2 linked regions of the Arabidopsis thaliana genome follow. The protein of the gene in region 2 interacts with the protein of the main gene of each other region in a pairwise test. Each region holds a gene or a part of one and is shown on either strand. Other genes may lie near its edges.

What was found.
Region 1: the proteins of SHI (region 2) and BRC1 interact in a two-hybrid assay, tested with the Arabidopsis thaliana proteins (one large-scale study listed by BioGRID).

What each region holds. Positions count from the first base shown.
Region 1 is NC_003074.8:6,379,064-6,387,375, reverse strand, and holds BRC1 (TCP family transcription factor), read right to left. Parts: upstream 4,088-8,312; 5' UTR 3,950-4,087; intron 3,869-3,949; exon of another isoform or gene 3,840-3,868; 5' UTR 3,608-3,839; coding exon 2,935-3,607; intron 2,831-2,934; coding exon 2,735-2,830; intron 2,642-2,734; coding exon 2,106-2,641; 3' UTR 1,853-2,105; coding exon of another isoform or gene 1,772-1,852; 3' UTR 1,561-1,771; downstream 1-1,560. UniProt on the Arabidopsis thaliana protein: Transcription factor that prevents axillary bud outgrowth and delays early axillary bud development. Indirectly required for the auxin-induced control of apical dominance.
Region 2 is NC_003076.8:26,503,246-26,511,557, reverse strand, and holds the start of SHI (Lateral root primordium (LRP) protein-like protein), read left to right. Parts: upstream 1-4,748; 5' UTR 4,749-5,414; coding exon 5,415-6,036; intron 6,037-6,470; coding exon 6,471-6,812; coding exon of another isoform or gene 6,813-6,844; exon of another isoform or gene 6,845-7,040; coding exon of another isoform or gene 7,041-7,057; exon of another isoform or gene 7,058-7,617; intron 7,618-8,219; exon of another isoform or gene 8,220-8,270; coding exon 8,271-8,302; 3' UTR 8,303-8,312. Other genes in the region: DIM1B (Ribosomal RNA adenine dimethylase family protein), read right to left, coding at 1-566, 807-1,229. UniProt on the Arabidopsis thaliana protein: Transcription activator that binds DNA on 5'-ACTCTAC-3' and promotes auxin homeostasis-regulating gene expression (e.g. YUC genes), as well as genes affecting stamen development, cell expansion and timing of flowering.

The sequences.
Region 1 (8,312 bases), on a different chromosome or scaffold from region 2:
ATCCATGTATATCATCATGTGTGTTTGCAAATTAACTAAGACACAATTCAAACATCTTGACTCAACTTTTATAAAGCATTGTAATTCAAATTATAATTTCTAGTTTAGTTACTTTAATAATTATGTCATCCATAGAGGCTCAATTTTTTTATTGATAACCAAAAAAGTTCCATAATAGCTCTTATGTATCAAGTTTCCACATCTGATATTAGTATATATATATATTACAGTCAATGTCTTAGTATCAGATGCCTATATAAAATTTTAATTCTGATAAATAACGAAACTTTATGAGGCTGTAGATGAATTTTACTAGATATTTTAGTAGTTTTTTTTTTCTAGTTTTTTTTTTTCTAGTGATATGGACGCATGTGTGCGTTCTTAGGAGCAAACGCCAAATCATAGACCAAAGAAAAAGTTGGGAACCAAGGTAGCTAATATAGGAAAACAAACATAATGAGATTTTCACAAAAAAGAGGTTTCATAAGAGAACTGTGAAAATATGCATTTTGTAAATTTATCATAGAAAAAAGTTTTTTTCATAAAAATCATAAAGACACAACTATTATTTTAATTGGAAAATGGCTTAATGCTTAAAAAAAATTAATGTCTTATATTCACAAAACCTTTTTAAATTTCTCTTTATGCAAATTAACTTTAACATAATATATATATATATATATATATATATATGTACACATATATTTATGTATATTTCAAGGGTAGAATATACCGGCATGTGTGGTCTGAAGCTCACAGTTGTGTAATTTTGGATGATTTGACATTTTCCCACGCCGGTCTACAACAACAACGACCACCCAAGGTTTGATAGCAACCTATTATAGCATAAATGTGGAATACAAACTACAAAGACCAACAGCTTAATTAGTGCAACATATCATCAGGTTTCATAACTTTTAACCCCTTGTAGGATCTATCTAGAAGTACTGTATATAATTTTAATTTGTTTATAATAATTAATATTTATCATGGAAACTCTAGTTAGGGAACATGATATACCAAACTGAGTAAACCAAACTCTCCAAATTAAGTAACTCAAACTTATCACAATAGAGAAGTAACTTACTACTCCCAAGACATTTCGATTTATTAGAGCAGAACTTATCATTGGTTAAGGGAAAAAGCAAATAGCTTCACATCAGTTATAAAAAATATATTTGAAAATGATAAAGTTTCCACGTAATATATTACACAAATTACGCATATATGAACTTGTCTGTATACAATGTACGTTAACCCACTTATACATAGATCACAAGCCTAGTGATACCCGATACGTTTGTCGATCGCATTTAACTTAATAGGCTTGAAAGGTTTTGAATTGCCTGATTACTAGAACTGACGTCCAGGTCTCAGAAGGAATATAGATTGAGAATGTATTGAATCATGAATCTTAACTTATATAATTTTGTCATCAGTTTGTCACGTTTCCTTTTGTTTTTGTCATTTGTTGTATTCCTAAAAGCAAACGATAGACAAACTTAACAACACAGAGATAATATTAACAAACAACGTTTAAAGGATACATATCAGTTAAAAATCCACTCGAACTATGAAAACAAAATATTATACAAATTGCATTAATTTCTTCACATAGGTTTAATATTTGACACTAAAATGACGAAAAAGCCTTCATATAAACATGATTAATTACGATGTTAAGAAAAAAAAACATAAGATGGATTAACATATCTCTCTCACCAAACTATATATCATTAATTTGAGATATTAATGTTAAATGAAATCAGTTTCAATACATGTTTTGATAGTTGTGCATGAGGTCTCTTGGTTTCGCGCCGAAGGAGTAATGAAGATCCGTAAACTGATGCTGCTGCAAGGTACATAGCCCCAAAAAAAAAAAAATCGATGAAAATTTGAACAATAAAAACCATAATAGTATAACCAAGTCAGTTAAAAAAAACCGGCGCCTTTGAATCGCTGATGTGGAACTAGATAGTAATAACCAAGTACCAATCCACAAAACACAAAAACTAACTTCTAATTAAACTATATATAGCATTAATTAATCGATGGTGGTGCATTAGTGTCATTGAATTTGATATACCCTACCTCTAAAACTTGAATTAACTGTGTATAGCTTTAGATAAAACCATTGGAAAAAAACTCATAAAAATTATAAATGTGACTCGTAGATATAAATAAGGTACCTCAATGGAATTAGCTGCTCCTTGGCTGCGATGGTGGTTAATCACTGGGAATGATGAGTTCGGTTTGTAGTTGACTAAGTCATAAGATTCATTTGAAATGTGATCTTTCTTATTCATGATAAATTCGTTGCAAACTGCAAAACGATCGTTCTTGCAAAGTTCTTCGATCTTGTCTTCGCAGTGTGTCATCTCAAAAGAACTCCGATTCACTTGGCTTCTATTATTATTCTTTATTATCTCACCATGATCATGAGCGTCTTCTTCCACAACTTTCACTAATTGTGATCTTCCTTTCATCTTCATCATCATTTTCTCCATTGTTCTACCCTTTGCTCTTTCTCTAGCTTTCGCTCTCTCCTCCTTGGACAACTTCTTTAAAATGGGCGTTCGCGGTTCTGGCCTCTTTCTCTTCCCTCTCATCGATCTCCCATCGACCTTGTTTCCTCTTGTTTCTAATGTATAAGATAATTTATCTTTTGTAACATTTTGATAGAAAGTACTCTATATATAATTGTAAATCAGAAAGGCAACGGTTAAGGTCGTACCGGTCGTGTTAGTATTGCTGCCTCTATCGTCGACCGTCCACATGGATGCAAGTTCACATAGATCAGAAGATGTGTCCATGGATCCTAACACCGGTCCTTAATTAATTAGGAAATTTACAATTTTCAGATTATGATATAAAAAAATTCATAGAAGTTGAAAACTTGAATAGACTTAAAACTAGAAAAGAATGGATACTTACGGATATGAGACTCATCGCCGCTGCTGAAGCAGCCATGGTGAGAAAGGGTTGTCGCGATCTTTATGATCTCAGGTTTTGCTTGTGTAAGCAACCATTCAACGGTTTTGCTGGCTTTGTCAAATCCAAGCATGTCTTGTAAGCCAAACAACTCTTTGGCGACATCTAGCGAGAGTCTCATCCTACGATCTCGTGTCCCTTTGGCCGTTTTGATCTTGCTGTGCCTGTCCGTTCTGCTGGGTTTCTTGGCTTTTTTCATTTTTGGGTCTTGAGAAGTTGAGATTCTCTGGGAATCTTCTATAAGGTTTATAGTTTCCGAGGGCTCAGTGGGTTGTTCTACAATGGTGTTGTTCAAGGGAAAGTGAAGTGATGGATGATGATTGTCGTTTGGGATGGTTTGGTTATCATCATGGCCATTGTTTTCTGGGTGGAAAGAGGTGAGGAGGGCGCAGTCCGGGGCAAATTCGAAGTGAGAAAAAGGAGAAGGTTGTTGGAATTGATGATGATGGTCAAGATGATTGTTTGATGTGTTAGAGGTGGAGTGAATCAAGATGTCGTTAATGGAAGAAGAAGGGCTAAAAGGGAGCAATGGTTGTGAGGAATAATGGTCATTATAAGGGAATAACATGTAGTCGTCATTGATGGTGGTAGTAGTACTGAAAATGTTGTTGTTCATGCCTTTTTAGGGGTTTTTGAAGTAACAAAATTAAAAAACCCTAAGACAAAATTTTGAGAATGACACTTGTACTATAATCTTCTTCAGACACACAAGAAAAAAGAGAAGAAAATGAAAGAAAGTTTGAATCAAAGAGAAAGGTTACTGTTCCAATGACGAAGACATTGATCTCAAGTCTCAACCAAAATGAAAACAAGAAAATTAGAAAGAGAGATTTCTTTTTTTCCTTAGCCTGCAAAATCAAGAAAAAAAAAGAGCAGTAATAGTGATTAGTCAGATAGTACAATATGTCTTTGTTCTAGAGAATCTATGTGTGTGTCTAAATGTGTAGAGAGAGAATACCTTTATCGAAGCAAAGGACTAATGGTTGAGAAAGACAACACAGGCGACGTACTTAAATGAGTCTATGTGCTATGAACTAGAATGGAGAGAAAGAGAGAGAAAAAGAGAGAGAGAGGGAGAGCTATATGGAGAGAGAGGCAAAGAGATCATTATGGGGGAAGGAACAACATATAAGCCTTTGAAAAAGCATTTATTTTGTTTATATATTTTTCTTAATTCCTAGCTTCGGCATGATAAAAATATATTCGTTTTTGTTTTTTGTGAAAATGTGATAATAGATGTTCGTTTTATTTGATTATCAAGATTTTTTTCTATAATTAGGACCTTGTGTTTGTTTATGTTCTTATATTTCTTTGAGATAGTTCATTACTAATATGTAGATAAGAACTCAGTATAATTATTTGATAGATATTAAATTGTTGACAGCTATATTTCAACTAATCAAAGATTGTATATATCTTTAAAATTAATAGCATGCACTAAAAGATGCCTAAAAATAGTTAATTCAATATAAAATATTTCACTGTATTTACTATAGAATATATGTTATAACTTTAGGATTTAGCTAGAATAATTAATATTACAGTTTCTTGACAGAACATATATTTACCAATTACATTAACATTTCACTTTAAATAAACAGATCTTTATTTAAATTATTGAAATGACATTTAAAATTTAGTTAGATAGATTTTTCCACATTGATTATATTTTTTAATATTTTTAGTAGATAAAGATCAAGGTATAACTAAATGAAAGAAATAAAAGGTAATGAGATTTAATTTCACCCAAAAATAGACATATAAATGTATGTTTGCATATTAAGAAGATCAAAATAAAAAGTTGAATAGAAATAAATATGAGATAAAATTAAGGATAAATTTTATTATTAGTTATGCCTTTATTTGGAAAAGGATTAATAGAAGAAAAGTTAGAAGATTTTAGATTATGTCTAAAGGAAATAGGAACAAGGAATATATAATTAAAATATATATAAAATATTGATTTGCATTTCACCGTAAGAAAGAACTAAGGTCAAATAAAATTATAAAGTTTTGTTTGGTGGTATTTTTCAAAACACTATAAACAACTTTTTCATATTTTTAAAGAGTATTTTGGTGTAATTCTTATGACTTCATATGTACACTAACTATTGATATATTGCATTTGTTCAGATAACAATTTTTGTATCTCTATCTAATAATTTTTATACATAGGACACAAATATTGTTATTCCAAAACTTCTATCCATTCTTAAGTCCAAATCTTTTATTTGTTGTTTCATAAATAAAAAACTTATACTAGATCAAAAAAAATATTTGACAAAAAAATCTTATATTAGATAATCTATCGAACTGAATGGGTTGTAAAAACTGAATCATCAATCATGGCGATCCCTCAAGAAAACCATACAGATCAGTAATATTTTTTAATTCCATTTTCTTGTGCCAACTTTTAGGTTTAAATACATTTATTTATTGTTGTAAAATATTATTAATTGTATTTTAAAGTATAAAATATGAATTCTTATATTATAATATATATATATATATATATATTATTGAGAATATCAAATAAATTTAAACACTGTTATAACAATTTATATCCATCATGGATGTTTCTCAAAATTAAGTATAGACATAGATGATTGTTCTAAATTGATTGTTATGCAACATCCTCTTCTGTAAATTATTAGTAAAAAAGGGTAGCTCCTTTTTCTTACGTAGACTTATTGGAATCCAATTGAGTTCAAATAGCAAAACTGACGAACGCATTGGACGAATTTCTCTTCTCTTCTTTTACCAAAAAAAAAAAAAAGAATTTCTCTTCTTTTTTTTTATGTAAAGAAACAAAAAACATCTCTTTGTTTTCATATTTGTGATACAAAACTTGAAAACAAGATCAAAACTCGGATTGGAATTTTTGGTCTCATATCACAAAATCCTTCTTCCTAGCTCTAAGACATTGATTTTCATGATATGGAGAAAATAATCTTTTTGCTATAGGAGAGTTAAAATACAAAGTTTCATTTTCAAATTGGAGGAATGCACGTGGCTGTGTGAAGCCCTAAGAAAAGAAGGCTGCAATAATTTTAGGAAGAAAAGAAAAAAGCTTTGCCTCTCTGTTCAGTATTGCATGACCGACCAATCTTTTATTTTCTTTTGACTCTCTCTCTCACACACACACTCTCTCATACTTATGTTATAACTTAGAAGTCGCTTTCGCTAAAAAGAGAACCTCTTTTCTCTCTCGTGCTTATCTTGTAAGCTTTTGTATCATTATTTTCCCTTGTATTTTTGTGAAAAAAACATATTTTAGAAATATCTCTTCGCTTAAAAGCAATATTAGAAGTTAGAAGTTAATACGGTTAACGGTCGTTAAGAGTTTATTAATTAGGTAGTTATGTTGACCTTGTCAGCTGTGTTAAGTGATGTGATGCATGTTTTTAGAAATAACTAACAAGAGATAAAAGTCACTAATCCACATCTATATACATGCACGTAGGTAAAGTACAAACTTAGGAGTTACGTGCAAAGATGAAACACTATCATTGTAAATAAAAACTCCTATTTTGGTCATCCATTGTTATCCACTCTTTCCATTTATACATGCCGCCTTCTCCGCCTAATTATCCACCACATCCCATGCTCTTTCTTCTTTATCTCTCTTCCCTCTCTCTCTATCTCTAGGCCTGCAATTATCAGGAGGACCACATGACTATAATGGTTGGACTCGCTGGCTTCTTCTAAGGTTGCTTTCAGTTCTTCTTTCTAATAACCCATGAAGAAGACAACAACATATATCATATCACCAATTTTGAGTTTGTTTCTTTTAATAACAATTTTAAGTTGTTTATTAGTGAGAATCAAAATTTAAGTTTCAATCTTTGGTTAGTCTTTCAATCTTTTTTTTTTTCCTTACAAAAGTTTGGCATTGATGCCCTGAGTGCTTTCATTATGTGTTATATTATCTATCTATTGCCAAAGTTGTTGGTTACAAATCTCAGTCACTCATTATCATCATTCTCAAAGTACAAAATTTATTTTTACTTTGTATAATGGGTTGTCAACTTTTTTTTTCTTTTGGTATTTGTGTGGTTCTTAGGTTGATAATGAATCATTTTCTATATATAGCAAAGAGAGTCAATGCTCTTTTAGATTACCATTCATTCGCGCAATTTCCTTTCATGGAAATGTGTCTGGAAAATTATGTGTTTGTCTCCACTTTTTTAATTTCACAGGCATACTCAATATTGACTTTTCTTCCTTTTCATATTCTTCATTTTAGTTATTTTTTTTCATTTGCCCCCAAAAAAAAAAGTTTTTTTTTCCTAAAATTCTCGAGATCACAAAAAACGAATCTAGAATTTTCTTGTTTGGACGACAACGAAATTAAATAATAATTCTCTAAGAAAAGAAAAGATTGCTACTTTACAAATTTGTGTAGGTATACTAGAAATTCAAATGTCGCCACAAAATTTCTGAATAAAGCGTCACCAATTTTTTTTTTCAATTAGTCACAAAATTTCAACTAATAAGTCTGAAATAGAATTATGAAAATCATCCTCTAATTTTTTTTTTAAACAGCTTGAAACGTTTATTAAAACGTTAGTCTAAACATACTATCTCGGTTCAAACGATTTTATTAATAATTCAATTACAATCGCCTTTTGTAAAATACATCATAAATTTTAAGTTGGTTATCTCACTTTCGTTTACAGGAATGAAGAGAAATGGTTCTATATCAAATATTATTTCTTAGCGAATCGAACAAATTATCGCGACAAGCTTAATGGGATGAGTAACAAGTTGATGTAGAGCTTCTTTGAGGTTTAGGGATAGAGATAGCCTATGTTTCTACTTTCACGCTTAAGTTAAGGAGATTTGACAACACCACATTTTCATATTATTGTTTATATATATAAAAGTAAATGAACACATCTTCATATTGATCATATAAATATAATAGCAATTGAAAACACAGAATGCCTAAGTTTTATTAGAAACATATATGCATATATCCAAGTGTAAGTAGCTATACGACCGTTGTTGTCTTCAAATTATACCTTATTCAATATTGTAACTTCAGAAAATGATGTTTTAGCTTGGTGGGAAAAACTTCAGAAAAAGGAAAATACTTGAAGCCACTATATGGTGCGAAATGTAAGAGGATAAAAGTCATATATATATACTAGTTTTTTTTTTCATTTTTTTGGGCAACAAAGTCATATACTTCACTTAATTTCTACTATTAGAACTCCACATTTACGAAGAACTTATTATTCATATCAGTCATCTAATAACTGAATAGTTTTATCCAGTTGATTATTTTAATGGTCTTTCTCACGTCTTTTTTTCTTATT
Region 2 (8,312 bases):
TCCTTGAACATACTTGCATCTGTATCCAAACACAACAAATCATCTTTCCCATCTTCTTCAACATCACTGTCAGAATCACCACCTGTCTGATTCATAACCTCAACATTCGAGCCATGCCTCCCTGCAGACAAACTCTGCAATTCCATGACCTTTTTCTTCTGCCTAAACATGGAACCAAGCGTCTTATTCTTCTTCCCGAAACACGTGCGAGTGAATGCCAACCATTCTTGAACATTAACATCCGGTATTATCTCCTTTGGTGTAATCCTAATTACAGATGAATCAACTTTAGGAGGTGGAACAAACTCTCTTTTACTTACATCCATCACAAATTTAACATCAGCTACTAACTTAACGTTCACCGCCAATCTATTGAAATCGGAATCTCCTGGATTTGCCAGGAGCCGGCGGGAGAATTCCTTTTGAAGCAAGAGTGTGGCGCTTCGAAAAGTATTGGAGCCGTATACAAGCTTGGCCACAAGAGGGGAAGATATGTTGTAAGGAATATTTGCAACCACGAGATCAAAGTGAGGAAAATCTGTCTTCAGAACATCTTTTTGAATAATCTATAGAATCCAACCACAAGAGAATAAGTGAAAAAGAGAGAGCGTTAGTGAATGTAGTTCCCTATTATTTCTCTTCGGCATTTTATCGAACAGGTTGTGTGCGCTTAGAAACTAATCCACAAAAACAAATAATTTCGTTCCCTAATCCAATCCTAGCAACAACAATAAGGCCCTTACATGTCCAAACCTAAATGAATTCTCAATTTATCGACGGCATCTCAATGAAGTAGCAGGATTTACCGTAAGTTTATCTGCAAAACCATGGTCAGAAACCCTTTTGCGTAGAATCTCCACCATACGCTTATCTAGCTCGACGGCTACGACATTCTGAGCAGCTTCAAGAAGTTTCATCGTGAGATTTCCAGTGCCAGGTCCGATCTCCAAGACTGTATCAGTCGGCCTGATATCGGAGCTTCGAACAATGGAGTCGAGGATTCTAGTGTTGGTAAGAAGGTGTTGGCCTTTGCTCTTGCACAGAAACAATCCATCGTGTTCCTTCTTCTCCTCGATTCTCACATCCCTCTCGTATCCTCTTCTCCGGCGGTCGTGATCGGGTTTTGTCCGAGCCTGCGAGTGAGAATCTCGTCGGAAAACTAAGGAAGATAAGTACGAACGAGTTGAATTGATTTTGATGAGCGTTTGGTCTTTCAATCGAAGAATCATCACTTTGCTTCAGTCACGAAATATAGCTCGGCGTCGTTATCATCCCACGAAATCGCCGGTGACAGGAATCCAAAGCGGAAACTTCCGAGCGTTTGAAGGAGATCCTTGTGGCCTTGTGGGCCAATTGTTTATATGCTTCTCAAATATTCCTTTAGCCCAAGGCCCAATTATTTTTTATTTCTTCACGACGCTTATCTTAATTCTTAATCATCCAATTGGCGTAGACTTTTACTTATATGTACATCCATAGATTGATTGATTGTAAAATAAAAGAAAAAGAACAAAAAATGATGGATATAGAATTTTGGACCACGCTAGTGGACTACGTACTCAAATGGTAACGTGAGAGCCATGAAGTCGTCTAATTATTTGGAAGAACATAAAGTTTGAAAATTCATATAATCTTGAAAAGAAAGCATGACGTTGCCAAGTTACTATTCTCGTCGGTGTAATTGCTATCTCTTTTCTACATGATCGGACGGTATATATGCTTCCTTTTGTCCCTTCCATCCAAATTTTGATTTATTGTGTAAACATATATATCTTTCAGTTGATTTTTTCATTATCATGACATCTGTCAACACTCTCTACTTTACATTATATCACCTCAGTCACACACCACTCTTTTCTTGATTAATTCCCTATGGTACTCATATGAAAATGTTAAAATTAAGCAAAATAAACACACACAAAAAACAAAATAATGTGTATTATCACATGAAAAAGCGTCACAATTCGATTCAGTTTCTTTTGGTGTTTTTATTTCTCCTATGATGGATACATGTGTTGAAAACTGTATCAGCTTCAGAAGAACATGCTATAAATATAAAGGCTAGCCTTATAATTTAGGGTTTGTAACTTCGGAATTAACAATAATAGAGTAATTAAGAAAATTAGGCGTGAAAAATAGTGGTCCACTTTTTTTACAGCAGCCTCTATACTATAACTTTGATACCACCCTTCGTTTCTAGTGTGGGGGATTTTCAATAACCCATGAGCACCCGATCTATCAACTTAGTTATATCTTGCCATTTTTCAACATACAACAGCAAAACTGTTTTGGTTGAGTTTTGCGAGTTTGTTATGTGATTCACGTTTGTTTTAGTGAAATTTTGGGTTAAAGTAAGTCGAGTGGATTATATAAGTAGATTTTGTCGCATCTAATAACTCAGTTGATATATCAGCTTAGAAAGACTATACGCGTCTCTGCATGTGCATGAGCATGAGCATGAGCATGGCATTTGGAGGAACCATGACTCCACTTCCTTGGGACCCACATGAACCAAATCACTCTCTATGTTTTTTCTTTCTTCCTTTATTCAATGATGCAATCTTCTCTTGAGCAATGAGAAACATATAATCATTAATATACATAAATGTAAAGGGGGCCTTTGAAGGTGAAATGGGATCCATATGGAACACATAGTTTATGAAATCTATTTCTGAAAACGGATATGTAGTATATAAAAAAGTGTACATTTCATTTAAGTTTTACCCAACTTTGCAGCTTCTCAAGAGATTTTGTGGTGAAAGACAGTCTTTGTTTATTATTTTGTGAAGAGATACAGAATACACATAAATTACTATTGAGTAAAGGAGGATGCAAGGGGGAAAAAAGTTGCAAGAATCTCTAAGCTCCGTTATTGGCTCCAAAGAAAAGAAACATAACCCACCAAATCTTTTATGTCCTTTTTCAGTTTCAAAGTTGAAGAGAAAAGGAGAGATTTAAAAGAGTGTAGAAGAGCAATGAATGGGTGAAAGTGAAAAAAACAAATCAGTGCGTGCTTCTTTTGTAGTAAACACTCTTCTCTTTCTGCCTATGTAAGAAAAATATATATTAAGAAGTGATTTTCTCTTTATTGGTAATAATGTGTAATTGTGTACAAGTGATATTTAGAAGCCAACAAACACTATGCTCCAAACTTACTTTTCTTTATTCTCTAGTTTATAAAGTTCTTTCCACATTTCCATGTTTTCTTATTGATAATGGGCATAACATACATTCTAAATCTCCAAAAGATGGTACCGGGGTCAAGTAGAATGGTAGATGACTAGATGCGTTTGAAGTGCAGATATTTGGCAGAAAAGGTAGTGGAAACAATTTCAACGTTTTTAGAAAAATTGCTAGGACATGAAATGGAAGGTTAAATAGTTAAGAAAATGTTAGTAACTTTACCTAAATTTGTATAAATTATGACACTGAAAACTTAAAGAAAAGAAGAACACAGTGCTCGAGAAGATACTTTAAACCTTTTCTTTTGGAAAAAAAAGACTATTCTATTTGTACTAATTTCAAGATTCAAACTCCAAAATAAAAGAAATTTAATAGTTTTGGCTCATGGTGAGTCTTTCATTATGCGAGTTTGTTGCTATTTGCAAAGATAATCGATGTTACCAATACATTTGGAATTTATGGATTTGTAATTTAGTTATATACAAGAATAAAATCCGAGAGAATGTCACTGTCCCTTTTGCCCACTCCCTCTCTTAATTTCTCGGTCCTAAATGATTGCATATATTCATCGAACTCTATCCCCAATTTTCTTCTCCTCTATTTCAGTCACTCATAATTTTTGCATTCAACAAAGTACAAACCCTCACATACATTAAGATTGTCATAACAAGAAAACCATTAAAACATCCAAATTGATTTCTGAAATTTACAGCTTCTAGATCAAATTTAAAGTTGTCTTTTATACTCTATTTCATAGATACACATTAACATTGTTTACAATACGGTGAAGAGGTTGGATAGATGATTTTGCTGATTGTTTATGTCAACAATAACTTTCATCCATTTCATAAATACATGTATTTTTTACAACCTCACTTTCATTAAATGTATTCTCTCTTTTACACAACAGTGGGTATTTCCACTAGGAAATGACTATAGTGCCCCTCTTCTTATTAGTCAACTCTCCATATCCTTTTGGAAAAATCCATGAACTATCTTCAGTTTTTTACTTTGTCTGTAGTTTGATATTCTGAAACAACTGAAATTCGTTAAAATTTGGAATGATTAATTGGTCAATTAAATTAAGATTCATGGGGTATAGGTATACGGGACAATTGATATACATCAGTGTATGTATTGTATACATAATTAAATATTTTAATACTATCAGGTGTTCATTATTAAAGTTTGTATATATAATGATAAAAATAACAGAGTAGTAATTTGCTTCCTTGGAAACATGGATAAGCAACTGTTTTCCAGCTGCGAACTTTAGGCACTTAATTTTAAAGTCACAGGTATACACTACGCAACCAAAGCAAGATTTCGCTAATAATAATTAAAATTGCATCGAATCTAACTAAAGAATCTAAAAATACAAGTATACCCAGTCCCCAACGTTGTGTAGGACGATATATGATTATAAAGTTTTAGTTTAGATATTACATAACTATAGATTTCTCATAAATAAAGAAATCTTCCGTTCATTTCACTAAAATATCGTTCGAACAAATAATACACAGATTAATATCTAAACGTAAATCATATAAACAAATAGTGTAGGATTTAATTATAGTAGCATTTTGGCAAACACAAACAGACAAACAAAGGAAGAGGCAGCGTGTTTTCCGGTAGAGAAAAGACGGAGAGAGTAAAAGCCGAAGTTGTAAACGTGGCAACATATTGACCGCAGGATCTAAAACACGTGATGATCAACGGTAAGATATATCTTGTCCGAGAAGTGTTTTGTGATATTAATTGGTGTAAGGAAAATCTGGAAAACAAACAAAAAAGAAAAGAGAGACAGAGAATTTAATAAGAGAGGAAGAGTATTAAGGTGATGGCGGCGTTGCAGAGCGCGAGACAGAGAAAGAAACCTCTCTGAGATACATCTCTCTCTCTCTCTCTATCCCCTCTTAAATACACTCCATACCGACAAACCAACTTTTTTCTCAGTACTAAAAGAAACCTCTATTCGATTTCTAAACAAACCCTAGATATAGACTACTCTACATTCTTCCATTAAGTTAATCTCTTTCGTCTTCTTCTTCTTCATCCTCTCATAATTAAAGATCTCTATCAAGAGAGAGATCTTTTATTGTCTTCTTCTGTTAAAATCTTTTGATAGATCTTCACTCTCTGAAAGTCAAGATCTTAGTCTAGGCAAGTAAATATGTGGTAAAGCAAAGCCCTTCTTGAAATTGGTCATATATGGCTGGTGGTATCGGAAAATGGCAGGATTTTTCTCGTTAGGACACGGCGGAGGAGGAAACACTCCAGACAACCACAGAACAAACACTAATAATCCTTCTTCATCGGGAACAGAATCTTGGCTTTGGTGCAGAAACCCTAACTCTAACGCTGACGGTGGAGAAGCTGGTCCTTCTTACAAAGGAACCCTTGAGCTATGGCAACACCCAAACAATCAAGAAATCATTTTCCAGCAGCAGCAGCAACAGCAACAAAGGCTGGATCTTTACACTTCCGCTGCGGGTTTAGGTGTTGGACCGAGCAACCGGAGCTTAATTGAAACTTCCGGCGGTGCGTTGATGATGATGAGAAGCGGTAGCGGTAGCGGCGGACCAAGCTGCCAGGATTGTGGGAATCAATCTAAGAAAGACTGCTCTCACATGAGATGTAGGACTTGCTGCAAGAGCCGTGGCCTTGACTGTCCCACTCACGTGAAGAGCACGTGGGTTCCTGCCGCTAAACGCCGAGAACGCCAGCAGCAGCTTTCTACCGGTCAGCAACCGCAGCAACTGGGAGGGAGCGTCCCTAAACGACAGAGAGAGCGTATCCCGGCGAGATCGACTTCCATGGCCTACACTCGTATACCTTCTAACAACACTTCAGGTATTTCATAATATCTCTTTATGGTTATTCACCCCTGAATGAAAATTAAAGTAATGAGCTTTGAATAACTTGAGTTATTAGTTTCAATTGCAGAAACAGAAACCCTATTTTGATCAGCTTTTTTTGTTCTTCTTTTTTCATTTTCAAGAAAAAAAAAAGGTGAACGATTTTCTTCTTCCTATTTTTTTTTTTTAATATGGAAATACTGTAGATCAGTAAGACTGACTCTTGGAATGACAGGAAGAAACTGTTCTCACTGATCTTGATATTTGTGTTTATATCCTGTAATTATTAAGTTTTTGTTTATTTGTTTGTTAATGCTGTAATTATTAATTTGAGTTAAGATAAAAACAAACAAACAAATCATACGTTGAAAATACTCCTACGATTTTTTCTTATAATTAACAATAATTAATTAAATGTTTTCTATCTAGGGTTGGAGGTTGGGAATTTTCCGCCGGAAGTTAGCTCGTCGGCAGTTTTTCGGTGCGTGCGTGTGAGTTCCGTAGATGATGAAGAAGAAGAGTATGCATATAAAACAGCTGTGAGTATAGGCGGTCACGTCTTCAAAGGTGTTCTCTACGATCAAGGCCCGGCCGAGAGAAGCTCCTCGGGCGGTGGATCTCAGCCGTTGAATCTCATAACCGCAGGCCCATCGGCCTCATCATCAAGCCCAAACGTGAGCTGCAACAATGGAGTCGTTGGCTCCACTTCAGATCATTATATCGATCCTGCCTCACTTAATTATCCTACTCCCATTAACACTTTCATGACTGGTACGCACTTCTTCTCCAACTCAAGATCTTGAATTCCACACAGAGAGAGTACAACAAATCATAACTTTTTTTTAGATTCTTACGGTAGAATTAGGGTTTTAAAACATCTTCGGAGGTGAAGATTATAACGTACTAATCTTGGTTTTCAAAAGTAATTAACTAAGGGAGATAATGTTCTATTAAAACAATTGTTACCTGATCTTTTATTATTAAGTTCAAATTTTGTAGGTATAATGTTAATGTAATAGTATACTCCAATTTTCAACTGTTACAAAAGTCAACGACCCTGTCTCTGTGAAAGCTCACATCAAAAGCAAGATTTGCAGCTGGCAGTTTTCAACTGTGATCGTTAAACTCAGCCTTGTTTTATTGTCAGCTTTTCACATTACTCTTTTTTTAGGTTTACTTTAACATTAATTTACCTTTCAAATTACTACTTTAGGTCAATTAATTGCAATTATGATTTGCCTGTAGAAATATTAATGTGAAAAACAAGGTTACAAAATTGAAATTTGGGTGAAGACATGTATTTAGGTGTCTTGTGCTTTTGGTCAACAAATCAGACACACTAGCACAGGTATATCGTTCGTCTACGACTACTATATATCCGGCAATATGCCATACCCTAATCTTAAGTTTTATTCAGTTTGAGCCGTTTTTAAAGTGATGCTCTCATTCCTATGATTGATATAATGTCAGTACACTTACATTTGAAGAGAGACTTACTGCCACATCCGACTCTTTACATTATTTTTTATATATATATATCCTGATAGCCAGTTTCTCCATATTTCTATCTTACATAGTTTTCACATCGTACGTTACGGTGTATTTTTTAGCCACATCTGAAGGGGCTTTACTATACAAATCTCAAATGCAATCCCCAAAATCTGACAAGCAGTGAGACTGTATGTGTATTTTGATTCTTTTGTTACAACGAGTGAGGCTGTAAATTCGGCAGATTATGAGTGAGTGGGGGAACAGAAAAAGGTGTAAAATTGGTATGCATCTTTATTTCTGCAGGTGTTTATGTTTGGACCTAAAAAAACTCTTCTTTCCCAATTCATTTCTTAGGCTCTCTTTTTCATTATTCAATTTACGTCACCTCAAGAAAGCCATGATGATAACGAGATGCAAAAAGAATCGGAAAACGAGCTAACATTATAATAACTCATTAGGATTAAAATTTAATTAAGTGTTGCATGGAGTTGTGAAGACTTGTAAAAAAGATGCACACAAATCATGCATTTTGTGATTTACATTTATATCATTCTATAATTGAATTGGTCCCATTAAACCTTAAACAGCTAATCCCACCTTGCTTATGCTGATTTGTCCCCGATTATTTCCTCCGTACTACTCGCACCATGTCTTCGAAATTTCTCTTTTGGAAAACCTAAGTTGCTTTTTATTTTCTTGGTCAAGCAAGACTCAAGAGTTTGATGTTGTTGCACGTAGAAAGGATCTTGAAGACGGATGTCGGATGGTGATAAAAGCAGC